Linked DNA regions of Neurospora crassa OR74A. The protein of the gene in region 1 binds, or shares a complex with, the protein of each later gene. Links are inferred from orthologs where the notes say so. Each region holds a gene or a part of one and is shown in the gene's direction. Other genes may lie near its edges.

Region 1 (15,990 bases):
TGTCGACCACAGTTGTCACTGTAGCTATAATTATAATTAATGCGGTGCTGTGTGGCTGGAATTGAGGGACAAAGGGGGCAGAAAGCTGGCACCCAGTGGACATCGGCAATGCCAAAAATGGGAACTCGTCGATAGTGTCCAAAGTGACCGTCAACGTCTCCGCTTTCAGGAGGAAAGTTGAGATCCACAATTCACCATCGCAGCAGCATCCACACTTGCGGTTTGATAAAGCAAAGAGGGACGACGGCAATGATGATGTGAGTGAGTGGGGGGGAGGACCTAACGACTAATAGTATGTGGGGACTTGTTGATGCCCTTTTGACTCCCAATGTCACCTTCTCTCTGTTTCAATGTTTCAAGGTTACTGCATCACAAGATTGATTCATCTCAACGCTTTTCCATGTCGCCCTATTTTCCCCCCTCCCTCATTGAGCTAAAGCGTTTCACTCGGCTCAATAAACCAAGAACCTTGATGACTGGAAAATGAAAACAATAAAAAACCAGTACAGGTGCTACTATGACAAAGAGACTAGAGTACGCACGAAACCCAGCGGTTCAACCAAGTTCAACACACGGCCGGGAGGTACTGTAATCTCATGACCCCACTATGCTGAAGCAGGACGTCCGATTTCATGCCGGCCGATTTCCCCCAAAAAGCTCTCAAGGGCGGGGAGATGGATGCGAGGATGCCGCGTGCGAGGATGAGCCTCTTTCTTCTTCCTTGCGATAGGGATGATGAGTGGGATCCCGTCCGCTCCAGTAAAGACATGCAGCGGTCGCAAAGCTTCCACTTCGGGCTGCCTTTAGGTTGCACAAATCGGACAATTACGCCCAGAGCTCTCAGATTGGCACTCGATTCACCCTCTCTGATTTGGCAACTCTCCATCCCTCTATCCCTCTACCATGGCAATGCCGACACTTCTCAAACCAATATTCTACACTAAAAGACTGGACCCAAAATATCGGGCAATGAATAAAGCGACACCCTCCCTAGTACCTGGTCATACGGACGCAGGTAAAGAGAGCACACAATACAAGTGATATTCTTGAAACTTTGCCGGAATTGACGATAAAATTACTCTAATGAGTCCGCACTCGCGCGACCGTCCATGACTAAACTTGACCAGCTTCCAATTGCTTGAGACCACCCACCTGAAATGAGTTTACTGTCGTCGCGACACAAGCTGAGCCGCCTATATCCGTCACTCGCTTTGATAGGTATGCTCGAGAGAAGTTACCGCACAGTAGTGTTGTGTACGGTCATTATCCTTCATCGTCAGAGCGGCTGCCGAGGTTTCCGCTTCGGCCGGGGCTCGGGGAGGGGTCATGGTTCAAAATCATGGGAACTTCCACTTGTGAAGACATACACAGTTCGAACATGCAGTCCCTCAAAGTTGCCAAGGTTGAGCCCCAATCTCGACTTCGCAAGATCCCAGAAGAATGTGGAGAGGGTGACAAGAGAGCCCCAGTCCCCCCCTTGTCCCGATGCCGATTGGCCTTGTATGCATGTCTCCACTTCGTCGTTGTCGGAGCGGGTCACTTTGTGGGTGAGTGGATATGCGGGTCAATCATTCCATAGCGGATCACCTCATGGGACCGCTGGGGACCGCTGGGGACCGGCACGGGAAGCAGCCCGGTGAGGAGCTTCCCCGTCCAGTTCTCGTCAACGATTCAGTTCATTCGGGATTCGAACGACGGCATGACGGTTGGACACTGAAGGGGGAATATTAATAACAATCCCTTATCTGGTGATACCGGCTCAACAATATAACCATCGTCCAATGGCAGATATCACCATCCATTATCATGTACATGTAATATGTATATAAGTGATCATTTTCCGTGTTAGTGACTAACGACTTGACGATTTTCGGTCCAAGCGGTTGTGGCGAGGTTAGCGCTCGCGTCTGGATAGGAAAAAGACGCAAGAAATGCCGATGACCAGTTGACGAGGCCGCTTTCGTAAACTCATGAATGTGGGGAGCGGCTAGACCTTAGCAACACGTGCTGATTCAATGCAAGTTCCTCCGTTTCTTTGGATGTCTTCTCTTTGGGCACCTAGGACGACAAGATTGGGTTTGTGACATTGCATCATGCTTCCCAGACATCGGTTCTACCTATGTTTGAGGCAAGGCTCGTTGATTTCCGCACGTTAGTTTTGAGATATTACATCACGGGCGTGTATTGCCTCGACCGTCAAACGCTGGCAAGCCACCGAGCCATATCTCAAGAAGTCTCGTTCCTTTTCCCCTCTCGGATAGCATGCTTGTGCCTCAGAGATGTGGATGAATGGATGAATGGCTGACAAGTGCCTAACCAGGCCGCATGATGTCGTTAGGACTCAGCCTCAATTCAACTGAAACGCACATCCCCGCACCGCCGGGTCATCATCCATCCTTCGACAACGTACAAACGACTTGGGGAAAAACACATCAATCCACATCGCATCAAGTGCCTAACTTGACGAAAGCCACATGGATATCTATCACACATATGCTAACATGAAGCTTAGTCCCTACTATGTCAATAAGCGCCATCACACAGTTACAGAAGTATCATGGGTCGTCAGTCAAATGCCTGGATACTGAACATGTTATCGGCGGTCGGCGGTCAGACTGGACAAGTCCTCCGTCGTTTGCAGTCAGTCAGCTTGAACTCGTTCCGTCTTTTCTCTGCCTCTCGCAGATGAGCTAAAGTTGCTGCGGTTGCGGACGGTTCAGTCATCGATGCATCTTCCTTTGGACGCTCGTCGCTGTGCTGGTTGCTGTTCACTTTGCCATGGATAATTGATTCTTGTGAAAGTGGCGCCAAGGGCGAAGAAGAAAGTTCTGGCAAGTCTGGCGATGGTGGAGTAAACGTGAATGAGGGTAGAGGGGGACGATGTGCTCTGATACCGCCGGCCCCCCATCCTTCGTCCTCGGAGGGATGCGATGGGTCAGAGTCAATCCACAAACCTGGCTGGTGTTGTGGTCTTTGACTAGTCCGCCGGGTTTGAACTGTCAGCGGAGATGAAAACCAGCTTTTGGCGCTTAGTGGGTGATCTGTGTCTTCCTCTTCTCGTTGTTGATGGGCTGATGATAAGGTGTGACACGAAAGGAAAGGAGTCGGGTCCCTCTGAAAGTGTGGCGAAATCTTAGCACTGGCGTCTTCGTCTTCTTCCTCCTCCTCCCCCATAGGCTCTGCCGCCGTACCAAGTTCTTGTTCTCCATTCCCATTATGCGCATCAGTGGTCGCATCGAGCTTTTCGATGAAAGGAGCGAGCCGAATCTTCCTAGGCTCCCACGAAGCTGCATTATCGCCTTCAAGACGTCTGAAGAGACTGTCATCTTCCTCGGGCTCGCATATCCAGGGATGAGTAAGAGCTTGGCGCGCCGTGAGCCGGTGTTTGCTGTTGTAGGTGAGACATCCGCGAATGAAGTCCTTTGCATGGCTTGAGATGTTTTCATCTGGACGGAGGCGGGAGGTTTGAGGGTCAATGGGCTCATTGTCATTGCCGTAGTCTTCATCGCCATCTTGAACAGCAATGTCACAGCCGAGGTCATTGAGGATGATGTTGAGGTAGCGGTCGATTCTGTCTTGGCTGGTAAAATCGAGATGACGAAGATTCGGAAGTTCTTGGAATCCAGAGAAAAGCTGAAGGCAAAGCATCCCAATGGACCAGATGTCGACAGACAATGAATGACCTCGCTCGGAGTTATAGCATTCGCTGAATCAAGCGTTAGCATTGCTCTCAACAATCCAGTGACATATGTCAACCCAGGAGGGGAAGTGCGAAACTCACGGGGCGCGATAGAAGGTTGTTCCAACCTCGGACCTTAATCTTCCACGGTTCGTAACAGCCGAGTCCCCAAAATCGGAGAGAACAAGCCTGTAGGAGACATTTGGCGCTATGGCACAGAGAATATTCTCTGGCTTGATGTCTCGATGTGCGACCCCCTTGTTGTGGATGTAGTCAACAGCATTGAGGGTCTGGCGTATGATCCAGCGTATTTCTAGCTCGGGGAGTGCCCCCTCGCGTGATAGAAGTGAGAAGAGATCGCCACCAGTAGCCAGCTCTGTAAAGATATACCTAGAGATACATTAGTTGCCCAACCCTGCTAGCTGCTCGTGATGAAGGTCTTACACCGAATGCTCTGATTCGAAGGCAGCCTTGATGGAAAGAATATTCGGCTGACGACTTTTGTTAGCTTGATCCATCGTCCCGTGCCCTTTCAATGACTTACGTGATCGAGGTAGCTCAACAGCATTGCCTCCTGCTTGATCCGACGGAGTATCTGGTGTGACCGGGGCCGTCTATCTAAGTTGTGCACTTTGCAAGCCACCTGCTGCCCTGTCAAGACATCTGTGGCTAGGTAGACCACAGCATGGGCACCGTTTCCTAATGTGCGGTCTTCCACAAGGTATCGGTTCTCAAGGAGCTGGATGTTGCTAAGTCAGATCATGGCATGTTTTATTTTCGTCGCACGCCAAGATAACAATAGTACCTTGAGCTCCTCTCGCTGGCGTGCAGTGAGCCGCAAAAACGAAGTTCCCTGCTCGAGCTGAACGAACTTGAAAGTGATGTAAGGATATATGGAGATGACATCCCCATTCTGGAGTAGTCTTCCCGGAGTGATGTCTGGCTTCTTCCCAACGCACTTTTTGTTGAGCAGAGTCCCGTTGGAAGACTGTCGGTCTCGCACAAACACAAGTGATGTATGGCGACCTTCTTCGTCAACAGTGATAGAATACAGCTCAAAGTGGTTTCTTGAGACAGTGGAATCGACAAAGACAACGTCATTATTATCTCGGTCCGTGTCACGACCAATTCTGACTGTCTGGTTTGGCCAGATGTAAAAGCCGCCTGGACTTGCGACACGAAAGTTAGGGAGCACTGGTTGGAGGAGACCAGCGAGGGATACATCACAGTATTCACGATCACTTCAGGGAAATGACAGATACCTACCTCTTGTAGGAGGAGCAGTGCTAGTGTCTTCGAAGGAAACACTTGCCACAGGCGGTTGCGACATATCAAACCAGCTGTCAACACCGAGACACGGAAAACAAAGGATAATGATAATGATAAAGCCGGCAATGTCAACGTTCACTCATGTATGCGTTGATGTCGTCACTTGCGTCCGTAGATAGTGTTGACTATTCATGGCCCACCGTGGCTTTGCGTATTGAGAAGTAGAAGTAGGTAAAGGTTGGGAACGACACTCAGAGTTCAAGATCACAGGACGAGATTGGAAGAGTGAGTTGGTGCCTTGAGGATCGACTCCTCCTTCCCATGTCCAGCTATCGTGAAAATCTTTTTATGCAGACAGGTCGTGCCTTCCTTTGACCTGGACGGGTGCAGCTTGCAAGTGAAGTGAAAGTGCAGTGTCCATTAGTAGGAGCGGGAGGCAGGCTCGCTCGTTGGAGGACGAGACGGGAGTCGATCTCCGAGCCGAGCTTCTGATGCAGTCCAGCTGAAGCTCCCGTCCGTCAGCGGGAGCTTGGGCCACCTAGGGCAAAGGTCGCACCCCGCACGGACCGCATCCAAACAAAGAGCGGCAGGCCTGGGCAATTTGGGCCTGCGTCACCTGACTTACCCCACAGGGCTGCTTGCCCTGGAGCCCTATGAGATAAAAGTTCCCCCTCTCCATTCGCAAGTTGAAACTCTTTCCCATCACCAACAAGCAAAACTCATCTTTAAATCCAAGATGTACGCGCTCCCGCCCCCCAGCATTTGCTTGCCCGCCTACTGACATACAAGCAGTTCAAGATGAGAGCGAAGTGGAGAAAGAAGCGCGTGAGACGCCTTAAGCGCAAGAGAAGAAAGATGAGAGCGAGATCGTAAGTTTCACCATCGGCGCATCGACAGTTGATGCAGCTACAATCGCCACTCAGGAGCATATAAGCTGACTCGATCCCAGCAAATAAACGCCTCGCCTCACTCGACCCAATCAGCTCTTGACATTATCCTCTAAGCCATTAGACAACTTGGGCTCGGTGTCGACTCCTCCCCTCAGCGCGGAATGACGCCACATCGGTCGCTCTGAAACCTTGCGGTGATCAGGCGAACTCAGGGTTCCTACGGAACATGCACCCCTCGGGACATGCTGCACATCAAACTGTGGCACACATAGAACGGAACTGTTTGGTGGCGGATATGGTATTGGCTGGTTGCCTGTCAACTTCATGGTTGAGTAGCAACAAGGTGTTTACGGATCAACGCCGGTGGGAGCAAACTGTCTAGTTTGGAGACGCGAATTCGGGATACCCGTCGCAGCAACAATAAAGGCCGCTTCGCTTCATGATACACTTCTCTGCATCTGTGACAAACGGGACTGCATGTCTTGGATCAATTGTTTCTGTCGACAACATGGTCATCTGCCCTCGAACAGGTGACATGGCATTTGCACACAAAGGGAATACCAATTTTTGCAACATCAGTGAACATTTTCAACGACGGGGAAGGCAGTGGCCTGCATGCACGAGGGCATAGAAATCGCGTCCCAAGCCTTGGTTTGCCTTGTGACTTGGACTGAACCCCTCCATGTCTGGTTGATTGTTTTAGCACGCGTGCGGCTTGCTATTCTTCATCTCTCCAAGCAATTTAACAGCAAACCAATAGCAATTGATTTCATAGCATGAAGATTTCGCGCTTCGTAGTATTTCAACACAAATCATCAAACATATTGCATCGTCGTCATCAAATGTGGTGTGTCGATTGTAAAGGCGGTAACTGATACCGGACCCCGGCAGGCGGCAGAATTTTTTTCTGGCTGCGGGATCCACTCGGAAGTTCAGACAGCGACTCTCCAGCTGCATGATCCATTTGATTTGGCGGGACTTCACGACTCTACACTACCCCAGCACCTTTGTAGCCCGCAAACACCACCATGGGAAGCTCATCAGACAAGAAGCGCAAGAGCGCTGAGGATACAACACCCCAAATCAAGAAGAAGAAGGTCGACTCCGAGAAATCGTCCAAGTCGCCCAAGTTCATCAATGTCGGAGCTGTGAAGAGGCCGCAGTATGCGCCTCCGGTCGTGGGTAAGCACATGTTGATCGGCTGAAACCATGGCCGTCAAGTCCAATGGAGGAAGACTCTAACATGCGCTCCTAGCCGCGACCTCGGGACTCGCTCTCTCTTCGTCCATACAATTTCAAGCCTACGCCACACCAGCCGACAAGACCTCGAAGCGCAAGAAGAATGGCGCGCCCGCACAAGAGTTGCTGCTGCACTCTGCCAACCACCGGACGATGGACTACACAGCTCGCGAAGATAGGACAGGAGACTCGTCCGACCCATACCTGAAGCACTACATTGGCATCTTCAACCCCAAAACCGCCGAGGTTGAGATTGTAGAGGCGCGCAAGATGGTGCTCCGTGGCACAGTTAGGTCGCAGAAGGCGGTTGACGAGGCAATGGAAGAGAAGACTCAGAAACAGGTAAGCCTGGAAGTAGTGGTCAGGGGCATAAAACCAGACTGACGGTGCAACAGCAAATGATGGCCATGAGGAACGAGCTCGGCGAGGCATTCGGTACTAAGAAGGCGAAGAAGGCGATCCGCGACGTGACGGAGAACGCCATTACATCTCAAAAGGTTGGCCAGAGCGAGCTGGTGATGATGGACGCCATCAAGACCGCCACCAAGGACATGTCGACCAAGGAAGACCTTCAAGCCGCTGTCGACAACGCCCGACCGGTACCGCGCGGCAACTTCAATGCCGATGAAATCGCAGACGTCTACGTACCATCCCAAATTATCGGATCCGAGGTCCTGAACGCGATACCAGTGATGGATTGGCAGGAGAGCGTCAAGAACCTAGAAGACATCCAGGTACCTTCGCGCTTTGTCGCCAAGCGCGTTTCCAACGTAGCAAGCAGCGACGACGCGGTGCACAGATTGAGGGTACTGCGGTACCTCTTGTTCGTCATCATTTTCTGGAATGCCACCTCGCAAGGAAGGGAGCGTGGCACAAGAAGCATTGGTAAGAGGGATAAGCTGCGCGAGGTTATGGCACCAGCGCCCGAGATCGTGATTGAAAACATCCGCCGCAAGTTCTCGGACGGCGGAGTCATGCGCAAGACACACGTTGACCTTCTGATGACGCACTGCTGCGCATTTGCCGCCATCATCGACGGCTTCAGGGTCAACACGATTGACTTGAGAGAAGATCTGAAGCTGGAGCAGAAGCAGCTCAACCAATACTTTATCGAGATTGGAGCTCGCGTCAAGCAACAGAAGGTCGCTGACAAGATGGAGAACTTTGCCGTCCTGCAACTGCCTCTTCAGTTTCCCAAGATCAGACTGCCGGCACGGAAGAGGTAAACCACGCTTTGCTGAGCCGGACCCACGGCCACGGATCATATCATCAAGTTTAGTTGGATTGTGCGCATTGCACATCATCCACCCAGTCCTACATTGGACATCTTGGCGCTTACGTTTGGAAGTACCCTACGAAGTGCTGAGAAAAGGCATGCTTTTTGCGAGAGAAGCGATCATCCAGCTCAGTTGGAAGTCTGGCCGCTTCCAGCCTGTAACCACCATGGTGTGTTGTTGAGACACACCCAAGCGACACCCAGGCGCTGGCCAATCAAAATTCCAAGCGCCTAATCGAGAGGAGGCCATGACCTGTACCGCACTATTTGAGCATCTTGCCGAGGTATACATCAGTTATTTTGTGGTTCGGGCAGTAAAAGCTAGGCTAGAAAGCATATATCATTGTATAGACAATGTAGAGAATAGTCATGGAAATTGATGGGCCATAAGAAGTATGGCGGGAAGCTTGTCCCTCAGTCTTTATCAAGCTCTGAATGGGGTCAAAGAGATGACATTGAAATCTAGGAAAAGGGTCACCCCACAAAAAGCTGGCCCCCCTGGGTTCTGGTTCTCAAGTGCCTCAACGCTTGGCCAACCCCTTTGTGTTTGTTTACTACTGATATCCGCACGGACCCAATAACGAAGATGGGAACTGATGACGGGCTTCGAGATGAGTAATGGGGCAGAGATGATCATTAACCTGAACCAGCTAACGCCAGTTGATGTGCAAAATCAGAACCACGAACGTCAAGCTAACATATGTAACAGGAAGAATGTCCGCGGCAAATCCTACGCAGATATCAGAGCAGCCGACGGCCAGGCTAGAAGAAAACAAGATGAAAAGGTAGTTATATGGCTGCCCTGGATGGGCATCCGCCCAGGCGTCACCTTCTACCGTTGTCCCCTTTCGCTGGCCGCTGGCCGCTGGCCGCCCCGCGGTGTGAGACGCCGTCGGTGGTAGGTAGGGCTGGGCCGAAGCCGATCACCCCACGATGAAGTTCCTTCCCCTTGTGCCTCCCCAAAGCGTCCCCGACTTTGTCCGTCCTCCCCGTTTCCCCTGGCCCATTGCCTTGACCATCCCATCGTCCGTGTGCCGGCCGCTGCTTGTGCTTCCCCTCGCTCCAGTCCAGTCCCCTTAAGTTGGACCCCTTGGCGTTGTGCAGAGTGAAGGCGCTTGAGCCGCATTCGAAAGCCACGTGGGGAAAATCCCCACCGAGCGACCAGAGCCAGTGCAGTTTTCCTCACCGGCACCCACCCCGACCAGCTTAAATGGTATGACGACATTGCCTCTTTTAAAGAGCTTTTGGGATCTTCAACTGAGACGCGTCTCACTCTCAACGACCATTTTCCACAGATTATTTTGCTCTCTAAATTGCGGCTTCAATTTTGCATTTACACACTCAATGCACCTTTCCCAATGCTGTCTGATGTCTCTGCTTTCAATCTGAGCAGCCATTCTCTGCAATTTTGTGTTGGTGACAGCGACAATACGAGTGCTCAATTCACGACGCGTCAAAGTTGGGTCGACGGGCGAATTGTCGGGGCAGGGGGTACTTTGCGATTTTTTCTGAGGTGATTCGCAATGCCGGGGCTGGTGCCTGCAGCGCATGGACCAGCTTTTGTGGTCTCTGGGCGTGCTGATTGGCCAGGACGGTGCCAACCAGCGCCTTTCTTCCAGTTCCAGTTTCATTCCAGTTCACAGTTCCGCGAACGACCTACCTGGTAATGAAGGGAACGAACGCGACCGACCGACCGCTGACTGTCCACCTTCTTGCCTCCCGTCTGCCGCACCCCAGGCAGCTCACCACGCTCATTCACTCACCACCTCAACTCCAGTGACACTTCTTTCACGCCAGTCCTAGGTAGTCTTTGCCCCTGCTTCTGGCCTCCCTCCCGTCCTGCCTTCCTTCTGCACAACCTACCTACAATTCACGGCATCTGACCGACTGCACTCGATATCTCCCGCCGAGGTGAAGCTACTTATCCATCCAGCTTCGCGACTTTCAACTATAACGACTGGAGTTTGCTTCAAGTCCTCTCCTCTCGGGAAGTTATGCGCGCGCGCGAGAGGATTTGCACCACACTGCTGCCTCCCTTCACTACTACAACCTCTACATAACATACTAGCTCGGCACCAAGACCGGCACCGCAGTCCGACTTCAACTCCCCAGCGAGCAGTCTAGTCTAGTGCCGGGCGTGTGTTCGCGTGTGTGTGCGTGTCTGCTGCCGTGTGTGTGTGTGTGTATGCATATTGCATTACCCAAAGAAAAAAAAAAAGAAGCATCGTCGCATCAGTCGTCGCATTCTACCAAATCCTCCTACCTGCCCAGTGCCTCTCCTAGATGCCCTTCGACTCTCTGTCTGGCTCTACCTCAATTGCGCCCTTGGATAGGTTTTGCTCTGTCCAAACCTCAAGGCAACTTCGACCTGAACTAAAGTGCTCCGTCGATGCAGCGGTACATCCCACCTCCTGTTAGTCGTCAACCTGACAGCAAGGTGAGAGCCGACCGAGTGTTGACCCAATTTCACCCCCCCACGGCACCTAGGTCCATACCAGACAGAACATAAATCTGTATGTGGCTCTCTTTTTTTCTGGTTGTTCAGTTGCCTCTTTCCATCCCGTCCCTTTGCTCCCACTTCCCATTGCTTCCCTTGACCTGTTGACGCATCCTGTTTTGCTCTGCACGGCACACACGGACCTAACACGACTTATTCATGCAGGCTGCTAGATATTGAATAGCTGTTATCAATAAACATCGCATCGAAATAGCCAGTCGCAAGCTCAACAATTCACCAACCGCTAGCTTTTTGCCCCCATTCTCGCCATCGGACGGAATAGGCACCCCATCGGAATCCACCCTACTATTGTCCACCACCAACCCCAGTCCTATTCAGAGCTATTCGTTGCAGCACTTATTGGACCACATTATACCTAGCCGTTTTGCCCCCACCAACAATCTGCTATGTCTAAGCGTAAAAAGGACTTTCTCACGGATTTCGACCCTAACAAATCCGATCCCGAAGACGAAAACTTCGACCCCATTGCCGAAAAGCAACGAACCCCGCGAAGTGCAAGGAAGCAAGCAAACACCCGCCGCCCAAAGAACCGAGGCGCTGCTGGCGGCGCGCGCAGGCGGAACAGCCGATACAAAGGATCCGACATCGAAGACGACGAAGATATCAGCGACAGCGAACAAGACATCTCTTTCGGTGAAGAGGAAGACGAGGAAGAAGAAGAAGACTCGGACGCTCCTGTCAACGCTACGGGCAGGCGGATGCGCCAGGCTGCCGCACGACACCAATCGTACAGGGAAAGCAGTGAAGACGAAGACGGGATCCAGTCGTCTGACCAAGACAAAGACGTCGTCCAGGAGCCCGACGAAGAACATAGAGTGCCTTCGATAGAGTCTCCTGAACAGAGTCCCAGCAAAAAGAAGTCTCGCATCGTTGTGCTGAGTGTCAAAAAAGGCGCCAAGCCAAGCTCACAACGACCAAGACGTGGCGCTGCTGCCAAAGAACCAGCAACCATGGTTCCCCCGACCCGCCGCTCTACGAGAGCCCGCACGGAAGAGACGGACGAGCCATTGCTCGAGCTGTCCAACTCGGGAAGACATACCCGCGTCACCCGCGCATCAACAAGAAGTAAAAGCCCGGAAGCCTTGACCCACGCCACCAGAGCTACCCGTGGTTCCAAGGGTGTTAAGAAACAACAACCTCCACCCATTCCCGAAGCCTCGCATGAGGAAGATGACGACGAATTCAAGGTCGAGACGGATATACCCAATGCTGACGATGTGGACGAGCTGGCCGGTCAGGCGAACATGGTCGATGCGCCCGCTGACCATCCAGACGAACACCAAGAGGGAAGGGCTGAACAGGTGGCCGAGGAAGGAGCTGCCCAACAGGTTAGCGAAGAACAACCTGCACAGACCGAGAGCCAGCCAGCAGCAGAAGACGCAGACGGTGACGACGAAGACGATCGTCCGATTACTAGGCGGACTCGTGGGGCTAGAGCCGTCACATCTACCACAGCTGCCTCGACCACGACCACTGTCACAGCAGTTGAACCAGAGGGCGAAGGACTCAGGAGCCGCCTCAGGCGTGGGTCTCGCTTGAAGAAGAGGTCGCTCGCTGAACCTAGTAGTGACTTTGAGCCAGGCGAGGAGTCGGGCGATAACGAATGCTATGCCTCGGAGGCTTCAGTTAAAAAGAGTGGACGTAAAGGTTCCAGTGCAGATGAGTCTGCCGCTACACCCGTTCGCGGACGTTCCACCCGTGCTCGCGCTGCCAAAAGGCCTCGCCGCAACCAAGATTCTGGTGATGAGGAAGTTGAGCTGGATAGGGAGGAGCTTGCTGAAGAACTCGAGGAGCTTCGCGAGAGCTCACGCTCGCGGCCGCGAAGAGCTGCCACTCGCCGTCGCCGCTCACCTTCTATTCAGTACGAGGAACCCGCGGGCAAGAGACGTCGCACTACCCAGCGTGTTGATTACACTATCCCGGCGATCGACTTGGCCGCCCTCGAGGCCGAGGAAGATGAAGAGCCTGTGGCAACGCCAGCAAGAGGCCGCAAGAGGAACGGAGGAAATGCAGGATGGGACCGTCCTTTAAACACCACCTATGGTCCCTTCGGTGGCGCTGGAATTGGCGCTCTGCTTGGAGGCCCTTGGGGCACCGGTGCTACGGGCGGCGTTGATTCCGACAGCAGCGACGACGAGATGGTGCAACGAACCGGTCCTGGCCAGAACCCTATTGGCATGACGCCCACTTCTGCCGCTCCTCCGGTTGGCTTATCCAATCCTGCGGCTCAGACCCATAATGTGGACGGCCTGGGTGGTATTGGAGGCGCCACACCTAACGTCGGAAAGGTGAAGAATCTCAAGGCGTTTGCGGATGCGGATCCGCTTGGCGTCGATACGAGTGTTGACTTTAGCAAAGTCGGAGGCTTGCAAGGCCACATCGACCAACTCAAGGAGATGGTTCAGCTTCCCCTTTTGTATCCCGAACTTTTCACCAGATTTCATGTTACACCACCACGAGGTGTTCTTTTCCACGGTCCGCCCGGTACCGGTAAAACTCTCCTCGCCAGAGCCTTGGCCAACTCGGTCGGCTCCGGAGGCCGCAAGATCAGCTTCTACATGCGCAAAGGAGCTGACGCTCTCAGCAAGTGGGTTGGTGAGGCAGAGAAGCAGCTGCGGTTGCTCTTCGAGGAAGCTCGGAGGACGCAACCCAGTATCATCTTCTTCGATGAGATCGATGGTCTTGCCCCTGTGCGATCCAGCAAGCAGGAGCAGATCCATGCAAGCATTGTCTCTACCCTGCTGGCGTTGATGGATGGCATGGACGGTCGTGGACAAGTAATTGTCATCGGTGCCACTAACCGCCCTGACAACATCGACCCTGCTTTGCGTCGCCCCGGCCGTTTCGATCGAGAATTCTACTTCCCCCTTCCCGACATCGAAGGAAGGCGATCGATTCTCGAGATTCACACTAAGGACTGGGGTTTGTCGAACGAGTTCAAAGACCAGTTGGCCGAATTCACCAAGGGATATGGCGGTGCCGATCTCCGTGCCCTTTGCACCGAGGCGGCTCTGAATGCCATTCAGAGAACGTATCCCCAGATCTATACATCCAAGGAAAAGCTTGTGGTCAATCCTCAGAAGATCAGCATTCAGGCGTCAGATTTCATGCACTCTATCAAGAAGATGGTGCCCTCGTCTGAGCGTTCGGCGTCATCCAGCGCCATGACCATCCCCAAAATGGTCAAGCCACTTCTGGAGAAGCAATTTGAGGCTCTCGTTGCGCAGTTGGATAAGATTCTGCCTCGATCAAAGAAGACCACCGCGCTGGAGGAGGCCATGTTTGAGCCGTATAAGGATCTCGATGGCGGGTTCGAGAGGGAGCAGATGAGTCAGGACTTCCAGCGGTCGCGTGTCTATCGCCCTCGCTTGCTCCTCTGTGGAGGGGCGGGCATGGGACACGGTTACCTGTCGAAGGCTGTTTTGCATTACTTGGAAAGTGTTCATGTTCAGGATTTTGGTCTGCCTGTTCTACTGAATGATTCGAGGGTAAGTTTTCAACCGTCCACACTTTGTGACATATTGACTGATGTGATGAAATCTAGCCCCCTGAACAAGTCATTGTGAGCCTCTTCACCGAGGTCAGACGTCACAAGCCCAGTGTAATCTTTATTCCCAATGTGGACGCTTGGTGGACAACCCTTGGCTATGCTACCCTGACGACATTCACGACGATGCTTCGACAGATATCGCCGACCGATCCTGTTCTTGTATTCGGCACAGCGGAGTCGATGCCTGACCTGCTCCCCCCCGAGATGTTAACCGAACTGTTCGGGTTCTCTAAGAAGAACCGTGCCGCGATCTGGCGTCCGGACCGTGAACAACGTGTCGCCTTCTTTCTCCCTATCATCCAGAACCTGTGGAAGGCTCCCGAGGAATTTCCGGATCTCTCCAGCCGCAAGAAGCGGGTGCTTGAAATTTTGCCGGTTGCTCCGCCGCCGCCACCCAGGGTTCCTACCAAGGAGGAGATTAAAGCTCAGCGCCAGATTGATTTCCACCACTTGAACTTACTGAAGGCGAGACTGCAACCGATCATGGATCAGATTCAGCGCAGGTATCGCAAGTTCAGACAACCTGTCATTCCTCTCAACACGATCAGCTATCTCTTCCAGGAGTCTGATCCCAACTTTGTCCGTCCGGATGTGGGTGAACAGGAGCAGCGGCCTTTCGTCATTGCCAAGGACGATAAGGGTGTTGACGGCATCCTTGAAACCAAGACGGGCAAGTTTTACTACAACCTCGACTCTACCACAATTGAGGAGCGCTTGGCCAATGGCTATTACGCCCGCCCGATGGACTTTTATGAAGATATTAAGCGTTTATTCCTCGATGTCAAGACTATCGGCGATAAGGACTATCTCCCAAAGGCAAGCGAGATGGTTACGAACGTTGAAATTGATGTCTACGATATAAACCTTTCTTTCAAAACACAAGGCATCAACTTTGAGGATATTTACCAAAGGCAGCTCGAAAGAACAAGGAAGGCCGAAGAGCGTCACCGCAAGAAGGCGGCTTTCCAGCCGATGGTCGACAAGATCCAGTCTGACCTTGCCGAGACCCAAGACGATAGCGAGTCTCAAGGCCCTGTTGGTATTGGTTTTCCAATGAACAAGCCCGCCCACACGACAGCGGCCAGATTTCAGGTCATCACAAGCCCCAAGTCGACCGGAAACCCGAACTCTTCTGGATCGCACCCGCTTACCAATGGCACATCGCACCCTTCCAACCAAGGCGAGACCGGCCAGACGGTGGAAGAAGAAAGCACTCTGCTCTTCTCTCAGGGAGTTGAAATCAGCTCGCCGCTTAGATATCGGCAAGCGCAACGACAGCTTCAACAGAACAGAGTCATCACAGAGACAAATAGAGAAACCATCGGTACATTCTCGCAGACATCAGCACTTACATCTGTGCCTCCAGGAGTCTCCCCGGCCGCTATCCAGAATGATGCTTCGAGTACCAGGACTTCTGACCCAAGCTCAGGCCGTGGAGAGTGGAACACGCAACAGACGAATGGCGTGCAGAGCATCTCTCGGGGAACATCCCAGTTGCTTGAGAGCCAGGAGACGACTGTTAACCCTCCTGCTGCGGCGTTCCCTGTGGAAAGCAACAGTCAGAGCCAA
Region 2 (15,247 bases), on another chromosome or scaffold:
AATTTGCTTGGTTGTGTCGATTTCCTCATCGACGTTCTCTTCGGGCTCGACGTTGATTGCCTGAAAGGTTGGCTGCAGAAAACAGAGATGTCAGCAGGTTGGCCGTCTTCCACAAGATGCGCTGAAGAGGACACCCCAAGCAGCCGGCTAATCCAATCTTACCATGTTGCCAGAATCGATACTCTTTTCATGCGGTTAATAAGTAATAAGAGTGACGGCGCAGCGGTATAGAGATGCCGGGTGTAGTATACGGTGAAGCCCAGTAATCAAGTGTTGGGCCAAGAGGCAGAGCAGCATCTGTCTTGCCTGGTAGTGTTGTCGACGGGAAGTAAGGTAGAGGTAGTCGACAGAGTCGCGACCCGGGCCAAAGTGAGACGCGATTGCGTTGTTGGACACTGCTTAGTACGCTACCGTAGAGCTGGGTGCCATGTAAATTAATAGGTTGTTAGTGTGCTCCATGCGGAGGTGTGCCAGCAGGGTTCACACTCCATCACGGCAGGCACATGGAAGAAGAAGCTCCCATCACCGAAGCTGCCCGCCCGGCGGTGCATGAGATGTGGATGGCAGGGATGGACGTGTACGGTGGCCTGTGCTCTTTCAAGCTGCCTGCCCGCCTGCCCCTGTTTTCCATTGTTGCGATGACGGACAGCCAGACACGCAGGCAGCCCAGGGTGAGCTGGAGAGCTCGAGCTCCTGCCGTAGGGGTAGGTGGGCTGAGCTTCCATGTGCTGGCGGTAGTGTACATGTACTGCTGGCTTTAATGGGCCGGGCCCGAAGCCAGGAGGAGTATCCCCCACCCGCTGCCCGCCGCCCTTGGAAGACAAGCACCAATCCACGAACACCTCAACTCAAAACAGCTGTGAATAGGCTGAACCATCAAGTCGACGATCCCTCTTTTCGGTCAATCAACTCCCCGTTTTTGTCCCGACCTTGGATGACAAACAGGGCGGCTGACTGTTGGCGACACGACAAATTGCGACAACACAGGCAATTGCGCCTCCAGTTTCCCTGCTCTCTGTTCTAACCACTGTAAACCAACCATCAACATCCCGCCGCAGCCTGGCGGTCCATCGCCCTCACCATGGTTGCGCCAGCTGTCCCCGAGTTCGTGATTCCCGTTTAGAGTTACAGTCCACCCTTTGTCTTGGGTCCTTCAACCAAGCGCACCTAGGCCGAAGCTAATGTTGGATTGCACGCAGGATCACCGAAGAGATACTGCATGAAGCGGTTGACACTCGTACCGAGTCTCTGAGCTCTCTCAGGGAGCTTGGCCCCCCCGATCTCGTACACCTGGTCAAGCAGCCCCTGAAGAACCCCGGAAAGCACGTACGTAACCAGTCTCTCCGACTTCATCCATATGCAACACGACAGCCATCGCTGACCTGCGCATCCATCAGTATGGTGTCTATCACCATGTCACCGGCGTCGACGCGTCCTCCTCGGCCAGTCTGGCTGCTTACATCAACACCCTGACCTACAAGGAGTTCGGCAATTCCGCCACTGCCAAAACCGTCGAAGGAACTTATTGGTAATACCACTCTTTGACCGACTGCGTTCTGGGCTATTCCTAACAATCGCTCGTTCCAGCTGTTACAATGCCTTCTCCCGCGTCGACATGCGCGTACACGCTCCCTTCCCCGGCTCCGTAGAGAGTTATTGCGTTGACGAGCGGGGCGAAAAACGAAAGGCAACCGACGAACTCTGGCTCGAAACATACCTCTGCAGTGTTCTCCGCGCATACTCGTATGCCGACGATGGAAGCGGCGAGACAATCAGAAAGATCATGGGCGTCCGGCGTTTCAACCCCGTTTCCAGTACCGAGACCGAACACAAATTCCTCAGCGCTGCCGAGCAGCTCTTCTTCAGGGGTACCACTCCCCAGCTGTTCACCCTGCGTACAAGCGATTTACTGACTCTCCTATAATAGGCTGGCAACTTGGGTCCGACTCCGTGGTGCAGGTGCCAAACAATGTCTCTAACCACTTGACAGCCGGCCTCCTAAAGTATTTCTCCACAACAGGACGCCACACTTCCGGTATCAATCTCTTTGAGAAGCTTCGGTCGCAAAACGTTGAAGTGGCTTCGCTCTTGGCAAAAGTGCTCTTCATGGGAAACGAGGAGGTGCAAGGAGTCCGTGTTTTGTACGAGGCCCTCAAGGAATCGCCCATGGATTACGTTATGCTTGATACCCAGGCCGAATTCCTTCTCAAAAAGGCCGAAACTGCCCCAACGCCAGAGCTGAGGGAGGAAAGACTACGCATGGCTCTGGGCTGTGCAGACCGAAGTACGATAGCCGCTCCTAGTGAGTTCGGCACGTGGGCAAGACTGGCCCAGGTCTATGTTGCAATGGAGGATTGGGAGAATGCCTTGACCATCCTCAACTCGTGTCCCATGTTCACATACCAGGACAAGGATGCGCCTGTCATGCCAGAACCCAAAGACGTTAACCTACCGACCCTCCCAGAGACCAGGTTGGACGAAATCGACAGCGAGCCAGATTCGAGGTTTTCGGAGCAGGTCGACCCAAGTTTGCTTGGTCTTCGCGCCGCTGCGTATCGGGGAACGTTCAAGCAGGCATACAGCATTCTCACCGAGATGACTGCCAAGATTGGCTGGGATCAACTTCTCAAGATCAGAAGCAACGTTTTTGTTATGGAAGACGAGTATCGAAACGAGAAGCAGGAGCCCTCTTACCCTGCCAAGCGCAATGCTAGCACCGATGCGCTGCGTGGAAGCCCGGATCATACTACGAACGGCGAAACCGCTCCCAAGGAGGCTGCCGAAACTGACGAGGTTGAGGACGAAAAGAAGAATGCTACTTTGGCTGCTGAGCAAACGGAAGGCCTGGAGAGACCTCCTAGCGCTATCGACCCAGAGGTAGTCCGCAAGGCCGAAGAAAACGTACGTCTCCAAGCCGATGCTTCCCTTTGGCAGTTTACTATGGACACGATGCTAACACATGATAGGGTGATAACGAGGATCACTTCTCGCGCCTCAACAACAAGCGTCTATGTGAACGGTGGTTAGACAGCTTGTTCATGGTTCTTTACGAAGATCTTCGCGTATATACCATTTGGCGCACCCAGATGGCTCAGTACAGAGCGCAGAGTATGCAGTACAAAAAGTCGGCGGAAGAGTGGGAGATTCTCGGCAGTCTCGCAGAACGCCTACAGCATACGGACGAAGCGGTTGAGGCATACCGGGCGTGCTTGGGTCAACGCTTCAGCCCCAAGGCGCTCACCGGTATTCTCAAGGTGTTTGAGAAGCAAAAGAGCACACGCGAGAGTGTCGCCGCTCTCATCAGGTTGGTAACTTGGCAGTATCGGTGGTACAGCGAATTCTCACCCGAGCTACTACATACCATCCGGACACTCATCGAGGACGAGGGTGCTGTGAAGGTCAGGAGTATCATCCAGGCGACCAACCTGCCACAGAACGTGCTGGACTTGACGCATCACTATGCGGCGTTGTGTGCTACTTTCCGCAGCAGCGGGACCGACGGCTAGGTTGCTGGGGTTTGATATTGGGGTGCTGTTGATGAAGTGATGGCTGAGAGACGACCATGGCCGTTTACATGGTATGGACGTATACATGATGCCTATGCGTATGGAGAGCAGTCGCGGAGTTGTTCGTATGATAGCGAGTTTTATCATTAATAGAGAATTTGAGCGGCCTGATGAGATATGATAAGCATTGAAAGTTCCAGTTGATGCTATCTAGACTCCTAAGTATAGAGTCTTAGGTCTGTGGACTGTCGAGTGGCGGGAAGACCCCGGCTTATAGCGATCCCCGTTTTGACTCCGGGGCGATTCCCAGCCCCGGTCATCGGGCCGGGCTACCCGTCCTTCCCGTCTTAGCTATGACGGGACCTGCGCCAGTTGTCCCCAATCCGCTCCACAGAGCGGCGTCCCCCCACCATTTGGAGTTTGGCCCCCCAGTTTGCGCTCCGACCTTGGAACCTGCAGGAACTTGGAACTTGCATAAAGCTAGGTTGCTCTTCTTTGTTATCCCCGGAGGTGCGGGGCTATGGTACCTTATGGTTGCCATCAACGTCATCACATATGTAGAAGCGTGGGATAGAGAGCCACAATCCGTCAAAGGCAGTTCGTACAGTAATACAAACAGGCACCAGAATGATGGAGAAGATTACATTGGAACGGATAGGAATCGGCTCTCCACCGTTCGTGGGAGGAGAAAGTGGGGGTTGACTAAGAGATGGGGCTCCAAGCCTTATAAATCATGTTGAACTGCCCTTCCAGTCGTCGTTGATTCTCAATCATTCAAACTTTCTGTTGTCTTTCATGTTGCCTGTCTCACGCGCAATTCCCAGAATACCAAACATCACAAACACCGCCAGATATTTCTTCAGTAAAACAAACACCATGGCTCCTCTGTAAGTACCTTTACTTTGGGGATGAAGTGCCAGGAGAAACCCCTAGAAGAAGCTCACCCGAGCTTACAACTGTCAACAGCAGCAAGACTCACAAGCTCAACACGGGCGACGAGATCCCCGCCGTTGGCCTCGGAACCTGGCAGTCCAAGCCTGGTCAGGTCGAGAAGGCCGTCGAGGCCGCCCTACGTGCCGGCTATACTCACATCGACACCGCGTATGCCTACGGCAACGAGAAGGAGGTTGGCCAAGGCATCAAGGCCTCCGGCGTCCCACGCGAGAAGATCTGGCTCACCACCAAGCTGGACAACGACTGGCACAAGCATGTCGCCGAGGCTATCGATACGTCGCTCAAGAACCTGGACACCCCCTACGTTGACCTCTACCTGATGCACTGGCCCGCCAGTCTTGTCAAGGGGAACACCAAGGAGGTGTACAACGACTGGGACTTTGTGGACACCTGGCGCGAGATGCAGAAGCTGGTTGACACCGGCAAGGTCAAGAACATTGGTGTCAGCAACTTTGGCGTCAAGAACCTGGAGAAGCTTTTGAGCGCCGAGAGCACCAAGGTAAGCAAGATTGTGCTCCTCCTCCTCTTCAAGTTTTGTTGTGAATTGATGAGGACCTCACACATATAATTACAGATTGTTCCCGCCGTTAACCAGATCGAACTTCATCCTGGTAACCCGTCCCCCCACCTTGTCGAGTATCTGCGCTCGAAGGGCATTCATGCTTCGGCCTATTCGCCCCTCGGTAGCAGCGACTCGCCGCTTTACAAGCTTAACAGCCTCACCAAGCTCGCCGAGTCCAAGGGCAAGACTGTGCAGCAGGTTCTCCTTAGATGGGGTGTCCAGAAGGGCTGGAGTGTGCTGCCTAAGAGCGTCACTGAGGAGCGTATCAAGGCCAACATTGATCTCGAGGGCTGGAGCTTGACCGATGAGGAGATTGCTCAGATTGATGAGGTTCACAAGGAGAACAGCTTCAAGGTCTGCGGCGATGACTGGTTGCCTGTCAAGATCTTCTTCGGTGCTGGCGACAGCGACTAAGCGTCGTACACCGTGCAGCCAAGAGGATGCTGGCAAGATATTCCCCCCATAGATGAACAATAATGAATAATGACACCAGAAAATGCTCGCTCGAGATTAATGACTGGCTATGCTCCGTGACCACACATCTGTGACATCCGTTCCGACCAACCCCGCTCCCTACAGCTTCGCTTTCTCCCTTAGCCCCCTCTCCCCCTCCTCCTCCTCCTCCCTAACCACCTCCGTGACAAACCCTCTCACCCTCCTCGCCAACTCCTCCCCCTCGTCCTCATCCAAATCCTCCCTTTTCCCCCTCCCAAACATGGTACTCGTAAATCTCTCAGCCTCCCTCAGCCCTGGCCTGGGAATGATATGAAAATGCATATGCTCAACAACCTGCGCCGCGGCCGACCCGTTGTTCTGGACCACGTTCCAGTCTTTGATTCCCGTCGCCCGCGTCACTGCTTCCGAGAGGATCCGTAGGTAACGCCCCAATTCGGCGGCTTCATCGGGAAGAACGTCGGTGAGTTTGGCGGCGTGCCGACGGGGGCAGAGTAAGAGATGGCCTGGGGAGAGGGGCATGATGTCGAGGAAGGCGATCAGGAGGGGGGTGGAGAGGAGGAGGAAGGTTTGTGGTTGTGGGGAGGTGGAGGTGGAGGGGGGGAAGGGAGAAGGGGGGGTGGTAGGGGGGTAGGGGGGGAAGGTCGAGGAGATGTGGCAGAAGGGACAGTTGGGTTGGGTATCGGAGGAGGATGAGGATGAGGTGTTAGTGGCGCCGGCGCCTGTCTTGGAGGCGGGAAGGCTGGGGTCGAAAGTGTTGGCGTCGGGGACGATGGAGCGTGGAACTGGTGTTGCTGGTGGCTTCTTGTCGGTTGAAGAGGCCATGGCTGCAGTCTGGCGTATGACGTAGTGATGTGTTTGAACGATTGTATATGTCGAAGAGCCCCGAGTTAAACTTGAACTGAAGAAATACTCAAGGGAAATCTCGACAAGGGCTAGGAGTGAAGCTGATCTCGCTATGTAATGATGCCGAGAATGATTGTTTGCTGAGTACGCCCCGTAACCAAGGACCAATGCGACAGAATGTCAAACAAATAATCAAGAAGAACGCCTTGCTCCGTGACAAATCCGAAAAGGAAACACCACTAATGACTCTTGTATGATGATTTCTAGCTGATGACTAAATAGTAGCTCAGTGAAGTACGGGACGAGAGGTCCGGGGCGGCATCTGAAAAGACCCCAAAGCCAAACACAAGTGAAGCACCGGGCCCGTTCCCCGTCCCTGTCTTACCTCCGCTTGCCGGCGGGCATCGACCCGGTGGTGTGCAGTGGTGAGGCGCCAGGGCTGCCGCGAACAACCTCGGCCTCCAAACTCCGCCGAAAACGTGGGGGAATTGCCTGCCGCGCTGACAGCTACCCACAGAAGAGTGGAGAATTTATCATGATATGACAGGGGTAACTTGCATTCGCAAAGTCCGAACGCCGCCTGCTTCTGTCACCCTTTGTCAAAGTCTGGAACTTTCTGCCTCAGCGTCCCGCCTTTTTTTACCTTTCGTTGTTCGCGTCCAGTTGAAACTCAGTCGCCTGTATAGGTAGCGCTCCGTCCCTCTCGTCCGTCGCAAACCACTCCACCGGTAAATATTCAACATCATCATCATCATCAACCGAACGACATCATCGTCGCATATCGCTATAAATCGCATAACATCGATTTGTCGTCGCCTCAACACAAAGACAATCTTACACGTTGCATAACCGTCATCCAATTTATCCGAGCAAACCCGACGACAAACAAACCCAAACCACAAATACCACACCACCCTCAACACAACACAAACAACCAAGATGTCTTCCCGCGAGCAATACCAGGTCCCCAACTCCCAGGGCTTCACCACCGGTGCCTCTAACAACGACGGCAACAGCGGTGGCAGCAGCGTCATGTGGTACACTTGCGGCGACTGCGCGGTCCGCGTGCCGCTCGAGAAGGGCGCTCCTATCCGTTGCCAGAAGTGCGGTGCGCGTGTTTTGTATAAGGAGCGCACCAAGAGGTACGTTTTCTTTGGGCTTACCCGGTGGAAGATTCTGAGAAGGTGGGAGAGAAAAATCTTATGCTAACGACGGTCTGGGGGTAATAGAATGGTTCAGTTCGAGGCTCGGTAAATGGTTTCTTATTCGACTTTGTTCGACTTGGGGCCAACAAAGGAGGTGTAGAAAGGGGTCGCTCTTCCTCGATGCCGTATCGGGCTGAAGTTTTCATCGTATTTGGACCGGCCGGGATGTCCTGATGCCCAAGGACGGGAGCCGAGTCAGCCTTGGAGGCAACGGGAACATTTGTCGAGGGGAGCTGGGACCGTAGGAGACTCGAACCGTCGATATCTTGGTGTGATTTTGCACCATTAGCGGTGGCTTAGCATGGCCCAGCCTTGAACCTACGGCTTGTTGTGATCAGAAGAAGGGAGATATCATATTCATCACAATATCATGATGGCGGCGTTCTGGGAAATATCGGTAGACTTGTGGGAATTTATACAAAGAAAGCATTGCTTTTCATCATCGTCATCATCACCTATCACCATCAGATGGATCCGTTCTGTGATGCTTCTCATTATTGATCATGTTTTTTGCCATATAGAATATTGGTATGGTATCACTCTGAAAACGCCGGTTGTATGCTAAATCTCCTTCCCTCTCGATCACTTGTCTTGCCAACACTGCTCCATAAATCCTTTCCTTACCAATGGCCAATCTCATCACCTCTGGCTGTGGAGGTACTTTGCAAAACTTGCGTCGGCCAAAACCGAATCATCCTCGCCCTGCATGGCAGCGGCGTACCTCGCCTGCAATCCCTCGCGGTCATACTCGTCGTTGGGATCGTCACCATATTCCTCGTCGCTGCTCTCCTCGTCCGTGCTCAACGGCTCGGGGGCCTCTTTATCATTGACGTCACCCACTGTGACGTCGCCCGCCGCGTCGCCCATCGACATTCCCTTCATCATTTTGTTGAGTTCCCTCTCCCGCGCCTTCTTCTTGTTCTCCTCCCTTTCTTCGCGCCTCCTCTCGAGCTCAGGCTGGTAATCGCGCTTGAACTCCTCTGCCTTCTCCTGAACCGCGGCAAAGAACTCGTCAATGCCCGTCCCGTACAGCGAACTGACGCCCACCACGTTCAGATGTGCGTAAAACTCCTCCAACATCAGACTCATGCTGTTCAACAGCGAGCCCATGTATCCGCTGCCCGAGCCCATGCCATCGCCGCTGCCCTCCGCTCCGCCAAACGCGTTGTTGGTCTCGTCCTCCTGCAGCGCAGCCTGGAACGCATCATAGTCGGTCATCCACTCCTTTGCAAAAGCCGGGTCCTTAACGTCCGACTTGTTGAAGACCAGAATCATGGGCAGCTTGGTCTTGTAAAGGATACTGCAGGCGTACAGCATGTTGCTCATGAAGGTCGACGTCGAGCTCGTCCGGGGGGTGTCGATGATGTAGGCGATGACGGTGGGGAAGGATGAGGCGAGCGACTCAAGGAGAATCTGGCCCGACGCGGACCAGACGAACACCTCGATCTGGCCCGGCGTGTCGACGAGAATGTGCTTGATGGGCGTGTGCGTCGGGTCGTCGGGCTTGGGCGCCGTGCGCTTCTCGAGCAGGCCGAGAACCTGGTCGACTTTGGTGGCAAAGAGGTTCAGCGATGTGAGAATGCCGCCGTTGGGGCCGAGGTTGTACTGCTTCATCACCTCCTTGTAGTTGACCGAGTCGCGGATGTCAATGTTGCTCTCGAAGGGCGAGTGGGTGACTGCTGGGTCGAGGTTGATGACATAAGGAGGCTCCTTCTTTCCGTGGAGATGGGCATTGATCTGTTGCATAAAGGTTGTCTTGCCGGATCCTGGGGAACATGGTCAGCTGGATGATTCCGCTTGCGGTTGGGAAAAGCACAGAACATGAGCATGCGTAGACCTACCTGCCATGCCAACGCAGACGATGGCAACAGGCTGGTCAGCCTTGGCGGCAGACGATGCCGAAGTCGAAGCCATGGTGCGACAGCTGTGCACGGGTGCGTGGAAGATCGTTTGGTGATCTCTGTGTTATCTGTCGGATAAAATCAAAGTTGTTGCAGATTTCAGTTTGCGCAGAGATGGTGTTGTAATGAGTCTCGGGAAGAAAGTTTCACGGATGTCGTAAGCGGCGGGGTCACTGCTGTAGGGATGGTCATAGGTGGTTGCGACGGAGTGAATGTCCGAGGGCCACAGAGGGGCAACACCGCAAGAGAAAAAAAAAAACAAAAAAAAACCAAAGTCCATTGATCGCCTGGCGTAGCGGGCGGAAAGGTTCCATCCATCAAGGCATGGGTGGGGTGAAGGGTAGGTAAGGCTTGGCATTTTGTTTTCCCCAAAGTGAAATGACTGAAACCTCGACATTGGTCTCTTTTCATCCTCTCACCCATTCATCTTCCAACTACCTACGCCTTCATGTTCCTCGACATCCAATCCATATCTGGCCGGCTCGCATCTCATCCATCATCTTTTTACCAATTTGGAACTAAATCAGTTGGCGACCTATACCCTGTTATCATGCCTATATCAAAAGCCCATATGGCCTGCTTGACAGCTTCTTGTTTTCAGCCGAGCCGCTGTTAATCCGCGAATACCACAGCCCTCAACCGCCGCAGTAGCTAGTCGACACTCGACCTAGTAACTTGGCGGTCCCGCTCTTCAAGTTATACCCCGGTATTATGGGTGCCTGGATATTTTAGGATCTCAACGGCTGGATGGCATAGCACTTGCCGCGGGCAGACAAGCCCCGAAGGCTTCATCGACCTCACAGGCTATTGTTCAATGAAGTCTGTCCACTTGTCCAGTTTCAACTAATCCTTTCACGCCTAGCAATGAAGCCGGATACGGATGCTTTTTGGACAATTCGGGGAGTCGTCGAGTGGCAATTTGATACTGCTGAACGAGACCGGGATAAGCGATGGGAGAAAAGGCGTCTCACGTCATCTTCGGAAAAGGTCAGGAACTATAGGCAGGATGCTGGCGGGGGCGATTCACCAATGCCAATGACCGCTAAACCCATGCTAAGCGTATGGTCGGTGGTCCCGCGCTGGGGAGTGGGCGCAGCCGGTGGCCTCTTATTGCGTCAAAATTCTCTTCAAAATGGTGGGTGATGGGAGCTGGGTTGGTCCAATAAGCCACAAACGTAATGGCAAGATCCGTCTGTTCGGCACTACCAGGAGGCAGCGTGGCCGGGAACCAAGCGGCCATCCACAGGCTGCCCCTCATGATACTCAGCCCTACCAACCTACCTCTACCACGTTCTATCCATTATACTCCAAGCTGACCCCCAAGATCCGTTTGAATTCTCTCCCTCCCACTTCCTCTCTTGTTTCGTCTCTCGTCCCACACCAGGGCCAGATTCATCATCCGACTTGGGCCAAATTCCAGCGACTCATCAAATCCAGGCTTCGGAGATCGGCTACTATACCCTGCCCACACCTCTATAGAGGTGAATAAACTTTCATTTATCGGTGTTACATATCTACCCACAGCATCCAATGTCCACCATGTTGCGCAAGAAGGAAGCCTTCACCGTTATCACGCCCATCCCGGGCTTCATTCCACGACAGTTGGCCATCGACATCCTTCATTCTCATTCTGAAGTCATTACTCTTAACCCTCTTGTCCTCGACCACAAGCCCATCGCGGCCCCCCAGGATGCAGAAACAGACGAGTATTATGCGACATGGTATGAGATCACCGAACGAGTCACGATTCTGCCTGGAATTGGGAGGATGGGGGCTACAACCATCAAGTTCAATGGCTGCTTTCACGACATGCCGTGGGGTCTTCAGACTCACATATACGCCCCCATGAACGTTGACCTTCGCAACACCTATCGCATCGCCGGTAATCAACCAAACTTTGAGCCTCCAGAGCCACTTGAGATGGGGTTATCAGCTCTTGGGGCACCGTCGGATGGGTTATATCTCCGTGAGGATATTGAGATCAAGTGCAGTCGCACTGTCATGAGCTTTGTCAAGTCGCAAATGAAGAAGGCGGGTGGGGAAATGGTGAGACGCATCATCAAGAAGGCTGAGTTACTGGATGCTGGCGTGCTTCAGGCTATGATCGAGGACGGAAAGCTGAAGACGTTCAACCCGGCCGACAAGAGGAATACAGTCCGACGACCGGCGGTGGCTTCTCCGGGCCCTCAGTTTTCGCCCACATTTGCCAGCTCATCGGCCTCTGGTACACCACCTCAGTCTCCCGGTATTCCCTACCAGATCCCGCGACCGCTATCTGCTACTCCCAGTCAACACCGGTCAAGTACTCCTGGATCCTACCACCGTCCTAACAGCTACGGAAAGGCACCAGCTGCTTTCGGCTATGGAACCCCGAATGGACCACAGGAGCTGTCTGTCACCAACCCTGAACCGGTCTCAAATGGTCCGATTGAGATGCCAGGCGACTTCTACCACGCCCCATCAAACCTTCAGCCTCAATCTCTGTCATCCTCCAACCGAAATTCCAGTCAGTCATACTCGTCCGACCGGCCACAAGCAAGCCCGAACCCATCATTACGCAGCGGGTTCCCGTCTCCCGCTTTGGACAAGAATTTTGGACTACAGACTCACCAGGAAACGTCCGAGGAGCACAGGGAGGAGGCTTTGAAGAAATTAGACCCGCGTATCCCGCATCCGTCTCACTACGCTCCGTATAATCCAGCGGATTACGGTCCCGTGGACCCGTTGAAAGTTCCCGGCAACCAGTATGGACACAGTCCACAGGCTCAGCAGCTGTATAAGAACACATACACAAGGTGATGGAACAGGAACGAATTTAACAGGTTTTTTTTTTTCATTTTTTTTTTCCAATGTGGCTTGACATTGGATGATAGACAGGCAGGTGGCTATATCTTGTTTTTTTTACTTGGTTCTTCAAATACCCATTCGCTTTTTTCTTTGCTATAATATGTGTACAGACTTTTGACTTTATGTGATGATGAAGACTTGGACGGGAAAAAGAGGAGTTAGCGTGCTGGTTCATTGTCAAGGCACTTGAAGGTTCGATAAGATCAATGTAATTCTTCACTTTGCAGGCGCCAAGTTGAGAGAGCATTGTCCCGTAGGCCTAACCAAATATCCTCTGCAGCACTTCCAGGCAGCAAGACTTAAATTAGTGTCACACCCATTCATCACAGTATGTGCGTGATGTGCTATGGTGGAATATCAAATGCAACTGCATACTTGACTGCCAAACATTCTCTTGCTAAAGTTACTCTTCCTCTTCTCTCCCGAACGCAATCATTGTACCGATGGTTGTTAAGAATCGAAATCGAGATGATTCTTGAGCCTATATCAACTCGGAAGACGGGTGTATAAAGATGATCTGGGAGCATTATCATAGTTGGCAGCACAAAGACTGGACTTTCGATTCTTCCTATCCATCGGAGGGTTATCAGTCATCAACACTCTGAAAACTGCAAACGGCTTTCCGTGCAGCTAAGCTTAGGCTTCGTTTGAATATCTTCCCGTTGATATCACATAAAGTGTGCCAGCGGCTACCGTTTTGCTGCTGTGTCGTACAGTCAGTGGTGAGGGTGGCTCAAGACATTACACATCTAGTACCGGTGGTAAACGGTAGAAGTCTAAAAGTGAAATGACCAAGCTATGCAACAGGATGTTGATAACGTTGACGTATAGTAAGAGGACCACTACCGTGGCCATGTGGATAATCTCATGCATCTTTACCTCAATAAAAGGTTCAATGCTTGTTGGGTAGATGGTTATCGTGGGATCAGATCGAAGTGAGGTTGCTGATAAAGATATGGAATGGAATATTACCTCTTGCGGTTAGTGTAAGCAGCAATTGGCGCTTTTGAGTATCCCGCTAAAATACGTCACTCCACTGCAGCATCCTCCATAAACCATCAACCGATCAAACTTGTCATGCAGTAGCCTCGACTGAACAACAACCGATTGCCCACAATCGGAATCTGCCAACATGGACAGCTTGGAAGACTTTGAGAAGCAGCTCGCTGCGGAAAGGGAGGAGCGCGAGCGCGCAAAGGAAAAGGAACAACGGCGCAAGCACAAACATCATCATCATCATCGCCGCGACAGATCATCAGACCGCGACCGCGACCGAGCTGGGAATAGGGACAAGGATACAGAGAGAGACAAAGACAGACACAGAGATAGGGACAGTGACCGCCACCGATCACATCGATCTCGAGACGACCACGACGAGGAAGATGACAAGGATGGACACCGACACAAGCGATCGCGCCATTCGCGTCACGACGACCACCACGAAGAGGAATCGCGGCACCGGCACAGACACAGGGATCGGTCGGGTGATAGGTACAGTGAAAGGGACAGGGAGCATAGAAGTGACCGCAGGCGTAGCACTAAGGACACGAAAGACCTCAAACCGACAGACGCCAAAGAGGACCTCCCCTTGCCGGACGAGGAGAAGGCCCCAATGGACGTGGACAAACCAGCGCTTGTTCGCGACTCTTGGATGACAGCACCATCTGCGATAGATGTCGATTACGTTCAACGAGGCAGGAAGAGGAGCCCATCGCCCAAAAAGGAAGAGCCGAAACGGGTACTACACGCGAGGGAGGTTAATAGGGGATTAGCCGAGATGGAAAACTGGTCCATGCCGGTTGAGCGAGGTGTTGAGAGAGGGCAGGAACCTCCACGGAAGCGAGAAGTCAACTACACATTTGGTGACGAAGGGTCGCAATGGCGAATGACCAAGCTAAAGGCAGTTTACACGACGGCGGAGCAGACGGGCAAGACAGTCGAGGAGGTTGCTCTTGAGCGTTTTGGAAGCCTGGAAGAATTCGACGAGGCCAGAGAAGAGAAGATCGAGGTGGACAGGAGGAAGCTGTACGGTGAGGGCTACGCTGGCAAAGAGAAGCCAACAGGCGAGTTATACGAAGAACGTGTGGCAAAGATGCGTTCCCAGCGACCCGAATCGCCAGACCGCGAAGAATCATCACCGCCCGCACAAGGTGTCATCATCGAGGATCAACTACAAAAAGCGCCTCCCATCGACCAATCGACCCTCAACCGCATGCGCGCCGCCCTTATGAAGGCCAAGCTTCGCAAGGCCCCAGAGGCCGCCAAGCTCGAGGAGGAGTACAACGCCGCCATGGCCGCATTCCAAGCCGGCAATGCCTTCCAAGCAGGTAGCGTGTCCGGCGCCGCCGTCGTCCTCGACGCCTCGCACAACCGCATGTTAGCTGGTCCGCGCGGCGAAGTCGTAGCCGTGACCAACACCAAGCGGGGCCGCGAGCGGGGCACTGTCGTCGAAAACGAAGACATGAGCATCGACGACATGGTACGCGAAGAACGGCGCACGCGCGGCCAAGCCGGCGGCGAAGGTCTTCGTCTAGCCGAGCGCATCGCCAAAGACGCCAAATTCGACGACGACCTCGAGTACCTGGACGAAAACGCGGCCAAGCTGGCCAAGCGCGTGCACAAGAACGAGGCCTCGCTCAAGAACGTAGCCGTGGCCGAGTACAGGAAACTCAACCGCATCCTCGACACCTGTCCGCTGTGCCACCACGAAGAGCAGGTCCCTCCCAAGAACCTGCCGGTCGCACCCATCATCTCCCTCGCCACTCGCGTCTACCTAACCCTCCCGACTTCCCCCGAACTAACGGGTGCCGAAGGCGGCGCCTTGATCGTCCCCATCAGCCACCGCACCAACCTGCTCGAGTGCGACGACGACGAGTGGGAAGAAATCCGCAATTTCCAAAAGTCGCTCACGCGCCTCTACCACGAACAGGGGCGCGAGGTGCTCTTTTACGAGAACGCCGCCGCTCCCGGGAG

The links.
Region 2: NCU06485 (region 1) and NCU04508 share a complex: the UniProt entries of both Saccharomyces cerevisiae proteins name them as parts of the RNA polymerase I (Pol I) complex. The link is inferred for Neurospora crassa OR74A from reciprocal best matches to the Saccharomyces cerevisiae genes RPA49 and RPC10.

Annotation. Positions count from the first base shown.
Region 1 is NC_026503.1:1,575,515-1,591,504, reverse strand, and holds NCU06485 (hypothetical protein), read left to right. Parts: upstream 1-6,793; 5' UTR 6,794-6,866; coding exon 6,867-7,020; intron 7,021-7,093; coding exon 7,094-7,419; intron 7,420-7,472; coding exon 7,473-8,303; 3' UTR 8,304-8,827; downstream 8,828-15,990. Other genes in the region: stk-43 (serine/threonine protein kinase-43), read right to left, coding at 2,611-3,706, 3,782-4,069, 4,124-4,170, 4,224-4,418, 4,485-4,843, 4,946-5,009; NCU06484 (hypothetical protein), read left to right, coding at 11,258-14,359, 14,416-15,990. UniProt on the Saccharomyces cerevisiae protein: DNA-dependent RNA polymerases catalyze the transcription of DNA into RNA using the four ribonucleoside triphosphates as substrates. Component of RNA polymerase I (Pol I) which synthesizes ribosomal RNA precursors.
Region 2 is NC_026504.1:3,135,186-3,150,432, forward strand, and holds NCU04508 (hypothetical protein), read left to right. Parts: upstream 1-6,929; 5' UTR 6,930-7,260; coding exon 7,261-7,463; intron 7,464-7,550; coding exon 7,551-7,575; 3' UTR 7,576-8,019; downstream 8,020-15,247. Other genes in the region: NCU04512 (hypothetical protein), read right to left, coding at 1-72, 163-165; NCU04511 (bud site selection protein 7), read left to right, coding at 1,082-1,104, 1,200-1,326, 1,398-1,528, 1,588-1,868, 1,928-2,901, 2,967-3,506; gcy-3 (aldose reductase), read left to right, coding at 4,302-4,393, 4,473-4,959, 5,035-5,436; NCU04509 (HIT domain-containing protein), read right to left, coding at 5,596-6,300; NCU04507 (ATP binding protein), read right to left, coding at 8,166-9,292, 9,368-9,440; NCU04506 (hypothetical protein), read left to right, coding at 10,958-12,226; NCU04505 (cell cycle control protein cwf19), read left to right, coding at 13,407-15,247. UniProt on the Saccharomyces cerevisiae protein: DNA-dependent RNA polymerases catalyze the transcription of DNA into RNA using the four ribonucleoside triphosphates as substrates.